3 linked regions of the Coturnix japonica genome follow. The protein of the gene in region 3 binds, or shares a complex with, the protein of the main gene of each other region. Links are inferred from orthologs where the notes say so. Each region holds a gene or a part of one and is shown on either strand. Other genes may lie near its edges.

The links.
Region 1: the proteins of SYT1 (region 3) and CPLX1 are in contact, whole or in part, in a crystal structure (PDB 5W5C), measured with the Rattus norvegicus proteins. The link is inferred for Coturnix japonica from reciprocal best matches to the Homo sapiens genes SYT1 and CPLX1. Residues at the interface, in NP_001028852.2 of Rattus norvegicus: Glu271, Thr383, Gly384, Glu386, Thr406, Leu407, Gln408, Glu412, Met416; in NP_074055.1 of Rattus norvegicus: Val61, Met62, Gly65, Asp68, Lys69, Tyr70, Lys74.
Region 2: the proteins of SYT1 (region 3) and SV2A are in contact, whole or in part, in a crystal structure (PDB 4V11), measured with the Homo sapiens proteins. The link is inferred for Coturnix japonica from reciprocal best matches to the Homo sapiens genes SYT1 and SV2A. Residues at the interface, in NP_001129277.1 of Homo sapiens: Thr291, Lys314, Lys326, Lys327, Lys328, Glu342, Ser343, Phe344, Ser345; in NP_001315603.1 of Homo sapiens: Asp82, Thr84, Glu85, Gly86, His87, Asp88.

What each region holds. Positions count from the first base shown.
Region 1 is NC_029547.1:46,352,382-46,356,607, reverse strand, and holds the start of CPLX1 (complexin-1), read right to left. Parts: upstream 2,913-4,226; 5' UTR 2,841-2,912; coding exon 2,810-2,840; intron 1-2,809. UniProt on the Homo sapiens protein: Positively regulates a late step in exocytosis of various cytoplasmic vesicles, such as synaptic vesicles and other secretory vesicles.
Region 2 is NC_029540.1:401,018-405,274, reverse strand, and holds the start of SV2A (synaptic vesicle glycoprotein 2A), read right to left. Parts: upstream 2,900-4,257; 5' UTR 2,640-2,899; intron 1-2,639. UniProt on the Homo sapiens protein: Plays a role in the control of regulated secretion in neural and endocrine cells, enhancing selectively low-frequency neurotransmission.
Region 3 is NC_029516.1:35,821,783-35,825,352, reverse strand, and holds part of SYT1 (synaptotagmin-1), read right to left. Parts: intron 293-3,570; coding exon 86-292; 3' UTR 1-85. UniProt on the Homo sapiens protein: Calcium sensor that participates in triggering neurotransmitter release at the synapse. May have a regulatory role in the membrane interactions during trafficking of synaptic vesicles at the active zone of the synapse.

The sequences.
Region 1 (4,226 bases), on a different chromosome or scaffold from region 3:
GGTGTGGAGTGGATCTGACTATGGGCAGAGGTAAAAATACCTTTTTGCTGTCATTGTCACTTCTCTGGCAGAAGCAGTGATTTTAAGCTCTCAAGTTTCCCCTTGTTTTCTTCTTGTCATCCCACACAGCAAATCAGAACCATGACTGTATTTCAAATCTGTGCTGCTTGTACTGCCACATAAACAGTACAAGGGGGCACTTTCTACAGAGGGCAATGAAATGTCCTGAGTGGAGAAAAAAATAAAAATGCCACAGAAACCAGATGGCCAAGTAAGGTAATATTTTGTAGTGCTTTACTGGATCACAGCCCCCACTACATATGTGAGGGTCAGGAATTTTACCTTGAAGGGGCCAAGAATTTGCAAAGACATCTCAAACCTACTAACAGCCAGGCAATGACTGCTGCCAAGACTAGCAGCAAAATCCCAGTGCTGGCAGCACAGCAGAGGAGAGACGTCCACTGTACAGGCACAGCAAGCTTCTGCAGACTCCCTTTAACTGCAGGTCACGGAATGAACATATTCTGCTTCAGAATAACCTGCCAAACTAATTTTGTATCATCCCAATCCTCAAGAGTTTCACAAACTCACAGACTCCTACACCACATAACATAACTATCTTTCCTTGCTTGCTAACTCATCTCAATAGCTTTCTAAAACACCTTCCTGCTTTCTACCCCTCTGACTAGCAAGGCTCCAAGGAAATGCATATCTGATTGTCAGATGCCACTAGAGACCCAGGAAGCATGTTCAGAGATTGCCTCAGAGATGGGAGAACTCCCAGAAGGATCATGAATGCATCAGTTGTGGCTTTACCACTGGATGGGAAACCAGCGTCCAAAAGAATCTTCACTTCCTATGATATGATATATCTGCCCTGGAAGTAGCTGTTTTCCCTCTTTAAAACCATTTCTGAGTTAAAAATACATCTCTGCATAATGAATGAACATTTTCTGTTTTTTTACCAGTCCTCAGAGCCTTCTCCTCTATCCAGCAAGGGGCAAATGTCAGGCCCAGTTTGCTAATATACTATGTCAGATGGCAGAAGAGCTGGCACCCTGGGCAGCATCTTGCTGCAGACATGAGATACCCAGACTTCACCAACAGATCCTTCCTGAACTTGACTTCTCAGCAGCTCCTATTATAATGCAAATCCTGACCCTGCCACGCAGGATTATGTTAGAATGAATGTCTGCCCAGATTAAATGCTGTTTGGTACAAGCACACACTGCTCCCAACTCCAGCTCGTCACAACCCCACAATAAGAGTATGCATCTCAGCTGCTACTCCGCTTCTGCAACCCTCCACACCCCTTGCAGTCTCCAAGCTGTTATTTCTCTTCAGTGGGCTGCCTGATCTCCAACTGCACAGGCTGTTTTTACCATGCAGATCCAGGTTCATTTCCGTGTAAGCAACCTTACAGTGTAGATAACCTATATAAAACCTGCCCTCCTCAGGAGTGTTTCTCTTTCAGATAGGCACAAACAGTGATGAAATGCAATACCATTACCACAAGAACATTTATTTTCTTATGTAGGATCAAGTTTGATCACACAAAATAGAAGGAGATGAAGATACCTTTTATCTTCAATTTGGCCTTCATATTCAAAACACCACAATGAGAACTTCGGATATCACTCTATCCTTAACTACGAGATTTTGCTCCCTTGGTGAGAAAATAGTTCATTCCTTGCAAAAATGGAAAACACATTTCCATGCCACATAAAACTGTCCTGCAGTAGATGTCTCTACCATGTGCTGAAGCATATGGTATCAGTAACACTACGCATGAGACATCTTCTCAGTCCCATGGCTACAGTTTACCTCTTCCCCCTGCTCGCCCCCCACCCAAAAAAAAAAAAAAAAAAAAAAATTAAAAAAAAAAAAAAAAAAAAAAGGAAAAATGCACACATCAGGTATAGTAAAATAGAGGGAACAATCAGAAACACATCGTGGCTTCTTCCAAGGCCAAGCACCTCTCAGAGACAGCCTGTATTCGGTATTGTTCCAATGACAATCTCACTTTTTCTGAGCATTTGGGACAAGCAGCCCAGTAAGGTAACGCAACTGTGACAGGAAAAAAAAAAAGGAATCTCACTCCAGAACACTTTTGTGTTGGATTTCATTTCTCTCCCCTCACTGCTGTTTTTTTCTGCTTCTCATCACTGAGTTAAAGAGGCTCATCACACATGGAAGGAAATACATTAAAACCATATTAAAGGTCTGTCCCCTAACTACATCAGTTGTGAGGGAACACATTATTTTTTTTCCTGCTTACTGCAGCAATATTATTAACAAATATCACTTCCCAAATGCTAGGTCACAGAAACCAAACTTCTCTTCAGTAGCCATTGGTCACAATCTACCCAAAGTCCAGGGGAAGGATGGAGGAGAGGCTCCCACCCACCAAAAAATGTCAGTCTTTGGGAGTCCCCTGATTAATTCTTCCTACTCTCTTTGCCACTGCTGCCTCAGAAGACAGTACAAAGCAAGACGGCACTTATGCACAGTACAGCAGGACACAGCTGGTAGGGTCCCAGCACAGCCCGAGTCCTTCCAGCACATCTGCCGTGGGAGGCATTCCTCCCTCTATGACATGGGGCTTTGGTGTCTGCTTGTTGCTGCCCTCTCCTGCTCAGATTCTTCCAGCACTTGGCTCTGGGATCACGAATCTGGCTGGCATGTCCCTCTGCAGCCACCAAATAGCAATTCCGACCGCAGCCCCACCGGAGGCTCTCAGCAGACCATCACGTCTTGCACCGAGAGGGAAAGGGCGATGCGAGGCCCCCCACGTGCAGGCTGCACTTACCTCCTAAGGCTTGCTTCATCACAAAATCCATGGCGATGGCTCAGGGGCGCTGCCCAGCTTCACACCTCGCATGCACGGAGACCGGCAATCCGCGGCGGGCAGCCTGCGGGGAGGGGCACAGACACCAGAGGAGCGGTTTCTCCCGGAGGAAAAACGGCGGCTGTTTGCTACCACCTTCCCCACCGCCTTCCTTCCCAGCCAAGTTTCCACCCGCAGACCCTCGGACTCCAGCCCTACAGGACAAGGCAGGGGGATGCCAGGCAGTGCGAGGGTGGAAGGGGGGGAAGGCAAGAGGGCAGGGGAGCAGTGATGGCCCGAGAGTGCGGGTGGCCGGCAGCGCGGACGAGAAAGCGTTAAAGCTCCTAACTTTCTCTCTTCCCCGCCCGCACCTCCCGCCACCTGGCTTCCGGAGGGGGCATTTGAAGGTGAAACGCTCCGCGTGTGCCCGGCGGGGCGAGCGGGTAGGATGAGCGGCGGGGATGCAGCCGTGGCGGCGGGACGCGGGGATGCGACACCTCTCGCCGGGGATCCCGGTGCACTGCCAGCATCTCCCCGGGAGATGCTCCACCAGAGCCGGGGACGGACCGGCGGCGGGCGCAGCCCGGTATCCCCTCCGCGCAGCCTGCTGCCTCCCTTCGTTGGCATCGGCTCCGGTTCCCAGGTGCCATTAGGGCTGCACCCACCGCCGCCTGCCCGCAGCTGCCTCTCCTCGCTGCCCTCCCGCACGCCGCCGGCACGCACCCTTCGGCACGGCACGGCACGGCACCCTCCGTCCCGTCCACCCCGTGCCTGTACCTCGCTGGCTACGTGGGCGCTGTGCGGTGCTGGACAGGTGCTGCGGACCGTTCCGCTGCTAGCGGCTCCGACCGGCACCCATGTGCCAGCGGGCAAGTTGTGGATGTGAAGTGGAGGAGAGAGAACGAGTCCGAAGCTTCTCCCTACTTTTCCCCCGCGCTCCTCTTTTTATCACGGGATTTCCGGACCATCCCACCTACACGGTCCCTCCTTCCTCCTCCCCCGGCTGCTGAAGCCGGGCTCTCGCCCTCCCCCTGCTTCTCGCTCCCCCGCCCCTTCCCTGTACCGCCCTCGCTCCTGGGCTCTGGCCGCGGAGGAGGTCCCCGGCTCTGCCAGCCCCGCGGAGGGGTGCGCGACTCCATGTGTGCACCCCCTGCCTCATCTCCCGCTGTCTGCCTGCACCAGGGACCCTGCCTCTTCGCCTGGCGGAGATGGGGGAGGGATTAGCCCTCCGCTGTATTTTGCCAGCGCTTCCTTGGTTATCCTCAGGGGTGTGTGGGAAACGTCTGCAAATACTCCTTCCTGCAAAAGGTGGGAAGGTGTGGGAGTGATCCGCGTCTTCCGCTCTGGGTCATTCCCGGACATCTCCGCTCGTCCCCTAGGTCCTGAAAAGAGTTGTCAG
Region 2 (4,257 bases), on a different chromosome or scaffold from region 3:
ATAGCTCTGCATTGGTGGCCATTCATAGGCAGGGAGTGAATTGAGCTTTGGGTTGGGGGGCACTCAGGGGGGTCTCTAGGCTCATTCAGCTCCAACCCAACTGCCCAGAGGTGCCTGTGGGTGCTGAGTGGGCACAGAGACCATATATGACCCCCCAGGGAGGCTTCCAGAAGGAGGGGGTCCGGATACACACCAAGGACCCCCATATGGGGCCACCCAATCCCCCATATAGGGCCACCCAATCCCCCATTTGGGGCCATCCAATCCCCCATATGGGGCCACACAATCCCCCATATGGGGCCACCCAATCCCCCATATGGGGCCACCCAATCCCCCATTTAGGGGCCATCCAATCCCCCATTTAGGGGCCACCCAATCCCCCATATAGGGACCACCCAATCCCCCATATAGGGCCACCAATCCCCCATATAGGGCCACCAACCCCCATATAGGGCCACCAACCCCCATATAGGGCCACCCAATCCCCCATATAGGGCCACCCAATCCCCCATTAGGGCTACCCAGTCCCCATATGGGGTCACCCAATCCCCCATTGGGGCCATCCAATCCCCCATATGGGGTCACCCAATCCCCCATTTGGGGCCACCCAATCCCCCATCCCTATGGGCAGCACCCAGCATTGCCCCCTGCAGAACCCAACACAACCTATGACAGACCCCCAGCCCCCAGCGGGGCTGAGCAATGCTCTGACAGCCATGAACCCGCCCCCCTCCTTCTCCACCCCCCCCCCTTAAAATAAAAGGTGCTATTTTTACTCCTGGCAGACCTCCGAGTGTGCCGCAGGAGGCGACGGTCAGCCGTCACAAGCGGTGCTCCCCCCGACCCCCCCCCCTTTAATAACAGCAGGGCTGGGGCTTCAACATAGAGCTAAATTTGGCCTTATATCTCCTATATATCCTATATATATCCTATGGATCCTATATATCCTATATATATCCTGCATATATCCTATGTATCCTATATATATCCTATGTATCCTATATATCCCATATATCCCATATATCCCATACATCCTATACATCCTATGTATCCTATATACCCTATATATCCTATATACCCTGTATACCCTGTATATCCTATATACCCTATATATCCCATATATCCTATATACCCTATATATCCCATATATCCCATATACCCTATATAGCCTATATACCCTATATATCCCATATATCCCATATATCCTATATACCTTATATATCCTGTATATCTGTATATCCTATATACCCTATATATCCTATATACCCTATATATCCTATATACCCTATACATCCTATATACCCTATACATCCTATATACCCTATATACCCTATGTATCCTATGTATCCTATATATCCTATATACCCTATATACCCTATATACCCCATATATCCCATATATCCCTATATACCCTATATCATCCCATATATCCCATATATCCTATATACCTCATACACCCCTATATATCATCTCATATACCTATATACCCCTATATATCATATACCCCTATATACCCCTATATATCCCTATACACCCTATATACCCTATATACCCTATATACCCTATATACACCCTATAGACCCTATATACCCTATATACCCTATATACCCTATATATATTCTATACATCCTATACATCCTATACATCCAGGGCTGTCGGCTGGCTCTGCGCAGACACCCAGGGACAGTGCAGTGCTGGCGCTGCGGCACAATTCACCCCCCCTATTCCCCCCCCACCCCATTAAACCCACCTTCCTCCCCCCCCTCCCAACCTTCCATCCCAGGGCATTAAACCCTCATGGACCCCCTGCCCAACTCGGGTGGGATCCCAAAGGGGTTGGAAGGAGCCGGTGTGCGGCCTTGGCCAGCACCAAGGTCATCTGGTGCGGGGCTGATTCCACGGGGCTGTGACGCATTTTGGCAATAGGGAGCCAGCAAAAAGGGAGTGGGGGGCAGCAAAGAGGAGGGGGGGACAAGCAGATATAATGGGGGGATGGCAAGGTTAAAGCCAGGGCCACCCAAATAATGATGGTGGATCCCTTTAGGATGAGGGTCCTGCTTTCCCAACAAGGCAGAAATGGCACAGATCACAGGCTGGCAAGATGGGGAATGGAAATGGGGGTCCCCCTAAATACTCTCCTGGCTGCACAAAGGCTCAGCCAACCCCATCTGTGATATCAGCCCCGACCCTATACAAGGTTATGGGGGCTCTGGGCCCCTTTATTCCCTCTGAGCACCTGATTGATGCGGCCCCAAACCCCTGGGGGGTTCCTATATTAGGGTCCCCCCCCTTCCTTTCCTTAGAGCACCATGAACATGGCGACATAGGGAAGACTTGGCCCTCCCCAGTGCCCAAGGTCACCCCCCCCCCAAACCCCCCCAGGTTCCTTATCCATCCCTATAATGGGATCCCTGCAGTGCACAGAGCTAACGAGGGGCTCCCGATCGCACAGAGAAAAGCATTGAGAGGTGGAAGCAAAGGATTTTCAGGACAAAATGGCCACAGAGATGAGAAGGAGAAGGTAAAACTCCCCATCCGTCAGCCAGCAAAACCCCGAGGATGCTAATTAAAAGCAGATGGGAGATGAGGATGGGAAGGGAGGAAATAGGGGGGGGGATGCTTTATAGTGGCATCCTTACCTGTGTCAGTGCGTGGTCTGCTCCAATGCTGGATGTACCGAGGAGGATGAAGGATGCTCTGAGGATGAAGGATGCTCGTAGGGATGAAGGATGCTCGTAGGGATGAATGATGCTCGTAGGGATCCAGCAGCAGATCAACCCTCGGGTACCAGCCCGGCGTCAGCGCTGCAGCCTCAGCCACACGCACCCAGAGCTGGGAGAGTCCATTGCGACAGGCAGAGAAGGGAGGCGATGGGGAGGGCTGTGCTATAGCGGGGGGGGCTGTGCTATAGCGGGGGGGGGGCTGTACCGGTGTTGGGGGGGGGGGCCTCTATTTGGTTAAAGCAGAGCCGAAGGGATGCAGCGCTTCATAGGGTGATGGGAGACCCCCCCCGGAGCTCAGGGCTTCAATGCTGGAGATGCTTTAAGGGGGGTGTTGGATGTGTGGGGTGTGAGCTGAGGGTCCCGGCCCCTCGTGGTTTTTTTTGGGGGGGGTTTTGATGAGGAATAAAAGGGGTTTCAAGGCGTTTAGAACCGCTCTGGCAGCTTCTCCCACTCGCTCCCCACCACGGCCGCGGGCAGATGGAAGCACAGCCAGGCAGATCTGAGTCACATCGTCCTCAGGGCTGAATTTCCATCGCTTTTCGGATCGGATTTTACTCCGCCTGGATCGGTTTGAAGCTCTGCCCCCCATCAGGATACGGCACACAACCCTCCTATGGCTCATTGGGGGCTGTGGGGGGGGGGGCACACAGAGCGATGCTTTCCCCCATTCAAGAGCCGGGAGCTCAACCCCAGAGCCCTGCAGGACCCCAAACTCCTTCAAGCAGAGGGTGAGGAATGATGTGGTTATATATATAGATGTGGTTATATATATAGATATGGTTATATATATAGATGTGGTTGGGGGGTCCCCAGCCTGGCAATGGGGCAGCAGAGACCCTCAGACCACACAGAGACAGGGGTTGGAGGGACAGAAGTGGGGCTGATACAAAGCAGGACCAGCGTGGGGAAGGATTGAGATGGGAAAGGACTGAGCTCCCATTGGAAATAAACCCCAACCGATGCTTTGTGGCTGAGTTAACCCAACCCAAAGAGCTGAAGCACAACCAAGGTGAGCTGCAATGCTCCACACCTTCCTTATCCCAGCCAGGGGTCCCTCATATCCCCTCCATGCAGACAGTGGGGAGGGGGCTCTGGTCCCATCCCATCCCATCCCATATCCAATCCATCCCATATCCCATCCCATCCCATATCCAATCCATCCCATATCCCATCCCATCCCATCTCCATCCCATATCCCATATCCATCCCATATCCCATCTCCATCCCATCCCATATCCAATCCATCCCATATCCCATCCCATCCATCACATCCCCATCTCCATCCCATCTCCATCCCATCCCATATCCCATCTCCATCCCATCCCATATCCCATCCCATTCCATCACATCCCATCCATCATCCATCCCATCCCCATCTCCATCTCCATCCCATCCCATCTCCATCCCCATCCCATATCCCATCTCACCCCATCCCACCCCATATCCCATCTCCATCCCATCCCATCCCAATCCCATCCCACTGCTGTTCCCAATCCTGGATGGAGAAAGCATCCTTCTATCCTTATAGGATTTC
Region 3 (3,570 bases):
TACTGAGGTATTTACAGATACTGGCTAAAGAGCACTATGTGGGCAAATGCAGAAAGGCTTCTTCTTCTTCGTACTTTAATTTAATTTACTTCTTGACTGCCAGCATGGCATCTACCTCCTCCTCGGGCTGTAGGGTGTGCCACTGTGCGATGGGCCGCCTGGGGTTGGCCAACATGTCTGACCAATGCCGCAGCTCTGCTCCAGTGCTGTTGTAGCCCACAAAGACTTTCCCGATGGCATCGTTCTTGCCAATCTTGTCATAGTCCAAAACAGTCACAACAATTTGCACTTTCTACAATGAGACAGAGAAAGACCAGTGAGGGGAGGAGGGCAGAGAGGAATTTCAGCACACACAGTTACAACTGAGTCTCCATAGACACAAATTGAGCAGATGCGTGACTGCCAGAGGAGGCTCCCCCAAACATAAGCAAATTCAAACATTTGTCTTTGCTTCTTGTGAGCCTTCAAGATGTATTTCTACTTAGAACCTCACAGTTAACCTGAAATTCACCCCCTCACATCAAAGAGCTTCATGTGGGAATTAAAGTTGATTTTTTTCCCTTAACAGGTTAACAACGTATATATATATTTTTGTTGCTACTGGAGAAGCAGGCTACTTGAAGTCTGCAGGGCTAATGGTAAGATCTTCAGAGAAACTAAGTAAAAAGTAGTTAAATCAAACACATCATTATTGTATAAATAAATGTTAAAAGGTAGAATTCAGAAATGGCTCTACACCAACTTATCATCTCCAATGTTGCACTCAGTTCTTTCTACTTTGAAGCAACTCCTTATTATCTGTCCTGCATGCAAATCTGCTGTTTTCAAAAATAATTCAGAAGACAGCACACAGAGAGCATTGGTGCTCTGGCACAGGTTGCCCAAGGAGGCTGTGGATGCCCCACCCATGAGACATTCATGACCAGACTGGATGTGGCTCTGGGCAGCCTGGTCTGGTGGTTGGTGACCCTGCACATAGCAGGGGGGTTGAAACTACATGAACATTGTGGTCGCTTTCAACGCAGGCCATTCGATGATTCTATAATTCTTTAACAGCCCTTAAAGCTGCTGTCTACAGATATGTGTACATAACTGTGTGTACAGACACACATACACACACTCATATGTATGTGTACATTATAGGTTTATACAACAATAAAGCAGCCAGGAAAAGAGACTGTAACCCAAGGGAGCCGGAAAAAAGAAGAAGCTGTGGTGTCTTGGGGCTCTGGCACAGCATCTCTATTAGGCACAGGGAGGTCTGGCCTGCAGCCACACTGGTGCTGCAGTCACTTGGCTGTAGGAGCAGTAAGCTCTGGCACACAGAATTGTGAGAGCCCATCTCTCAGAGCTCACACACCAGTTCCTGCTCACTTGGGCTGGGGCACGTTTAGAGGCAGAGTTCAAGGCAGGTGTTTGTGTATGCGTGCACATGTTCCCCTCCATCAGGTTGTTAAGATTTAATGAAACAGTACAAACAGCTTTGTCTTCAGTGGGATGATATTCTTAACTGTATCTGAGACATTAAACAGCCTTGGGCTGATTTTATTTAACTGTAAATGCTTCTCCTTAGGGATTTGCCAGTTAAAGTTGAACATACAGTTCTTTTCCTGACTTCTTCTATCCCCTGATAAATATATATGGTTCCCTACATGAATGTGAGCTTCCTGAACTCACTGAAGAAATGCACTGTAACAGATTTCTTTAATAAACAATCAAACAAACAAACAAATAAATTCTCAAATATCATGTTTTTTAAATTTCAGGTTTTAAATATGTGAATAGTCTGGATTTCTCAGTAGCACAATTAATTTTATTGCTTGCAATAGGATTTATCTTTTTAAAGTAACCCTTAAGCATCTCTGCAAGACCGGACTCACGTGGTCTGTTTTATAGGGTCCATTCACTTACACGACTCTGCAGTTCACTGAGCCAGAGAAAGAAATAATTCCAGCAAGCACTAAAGTATTTATATAGTTGCTGATGACAAAAGGGTGCATCAAACTCAAGATTCTGTCTCCCCAGAGCACTCATGATATATAGCAATATCCTGAAGCAAGTATTCCTAGATGCCAAAATGATGTTTCATTTTTGCTGCTTGCAATACACTCACTTTAATGTTGATGGTACCTCCCCAAATGAACATTTATGTTTTAGATGTATGATACAATCACAGATCTAAAACATAGGCATGAGTACTATTTTTCGGTACAAAAAAAGTTGCCTGCTGCACCTAGAAGCTCGGGGCTAGTTATTATTTGGTTTTTCCTTTGTTAATCATAATGCAACAGTGAGCACTGAAAGGACACTTTTTTGATCTATAAAGATGGAAGAAAATGTAGCTCAGATGGTTAATGCCAAAACGATTTTCACTGTATGGTTTTTGACTTAGACCCGCAGAGAAATGTACTTTTCATCACAGTACTTTTGTACCACATATTAAAGGAACAGCACTGCAAAATCCAACAGGTGCAGCGGAACTCACCACCTCTGTTACTACATACTTGGATTAGCAGTTTCCTTGGCATGATTAGGCATTCTTTGTAATGAATGGGAATGGAGACTTTGGTACCTCTGGATGTGGTCTTCCTTGAAGGTGGTGAAACGTACTTAATTTGACTGAAGGAACAGGATTTGACTTCCCAGTGGTATTCTCCCATTGCCTTTCAACATACCACCTTTTCCTTGTCTGCCCATTTCACTTGAGACCCTAAATCCATTCTTACTGTAACTTAAGTCTAAACAATATTTAAAACACATTTTTTTTTTCTGATGATGAAATTACTACAGTGACTTTAATGAAATCTCTTCTAAATAGTCTTTCATAACTAATTCCAAAATACGCTGGCACAGTACCACAGTCCCTAACTACCGATCATTAAATTGAGGCTATATCCTGAGGTAAACAGCTATAAGTTGCTCTAATAAACTTATCATAAAAGCAGTAAAATTTTAGACAGCTAAACCACAACACTTTTTAAAATGCCTGTGTCCACCTCACTAAGCTGCTTTAGGATTAGAAGGCAAAATGGCCAAGCACCCACAGAATAAGTGTTAAAATGCCAAAGCTCAGATTTGATAACTTGGAGGTATCCATTCAGGTTCCCCACTCCTGTCCCTACTCAGAAATCAAGATGCTTCAGAGAGGCTTTATATGATAGAACTTCTTTAGCTTCTGGTCCTTTGATGCTTGTTCTGAGGTGTTTCACCAGCACAATGAACAGCTTTCGTTAAAATCACTGTGAATTCGCCCCTGTTGGATTTCCTCTTTAGGTCCCGTCCATAGACATTTGTATCTATGCTGTGGGGTATCATAAAGCTCCTAGGAGGGCCAGTCCTGCACTCTAATCACTATTCCTATTGCCTCATCTTATTTAGCTTAGTTATCTTTGTCAGAACCAAGCCAATAAAAGGCAAGCACACAGCCTTTGTTGAAAGGCAGGCCTTAGCTTCTGGACTTCTTTCCAGTTCAGCTGTTATCAGAATGGAAGATGCAGATTCCCAAAGCCCTTACCATTCTCTCTCCTAATCAAGAGGAGTCTGCCTTGCAGTCTCTACTGCCTTGCAGTT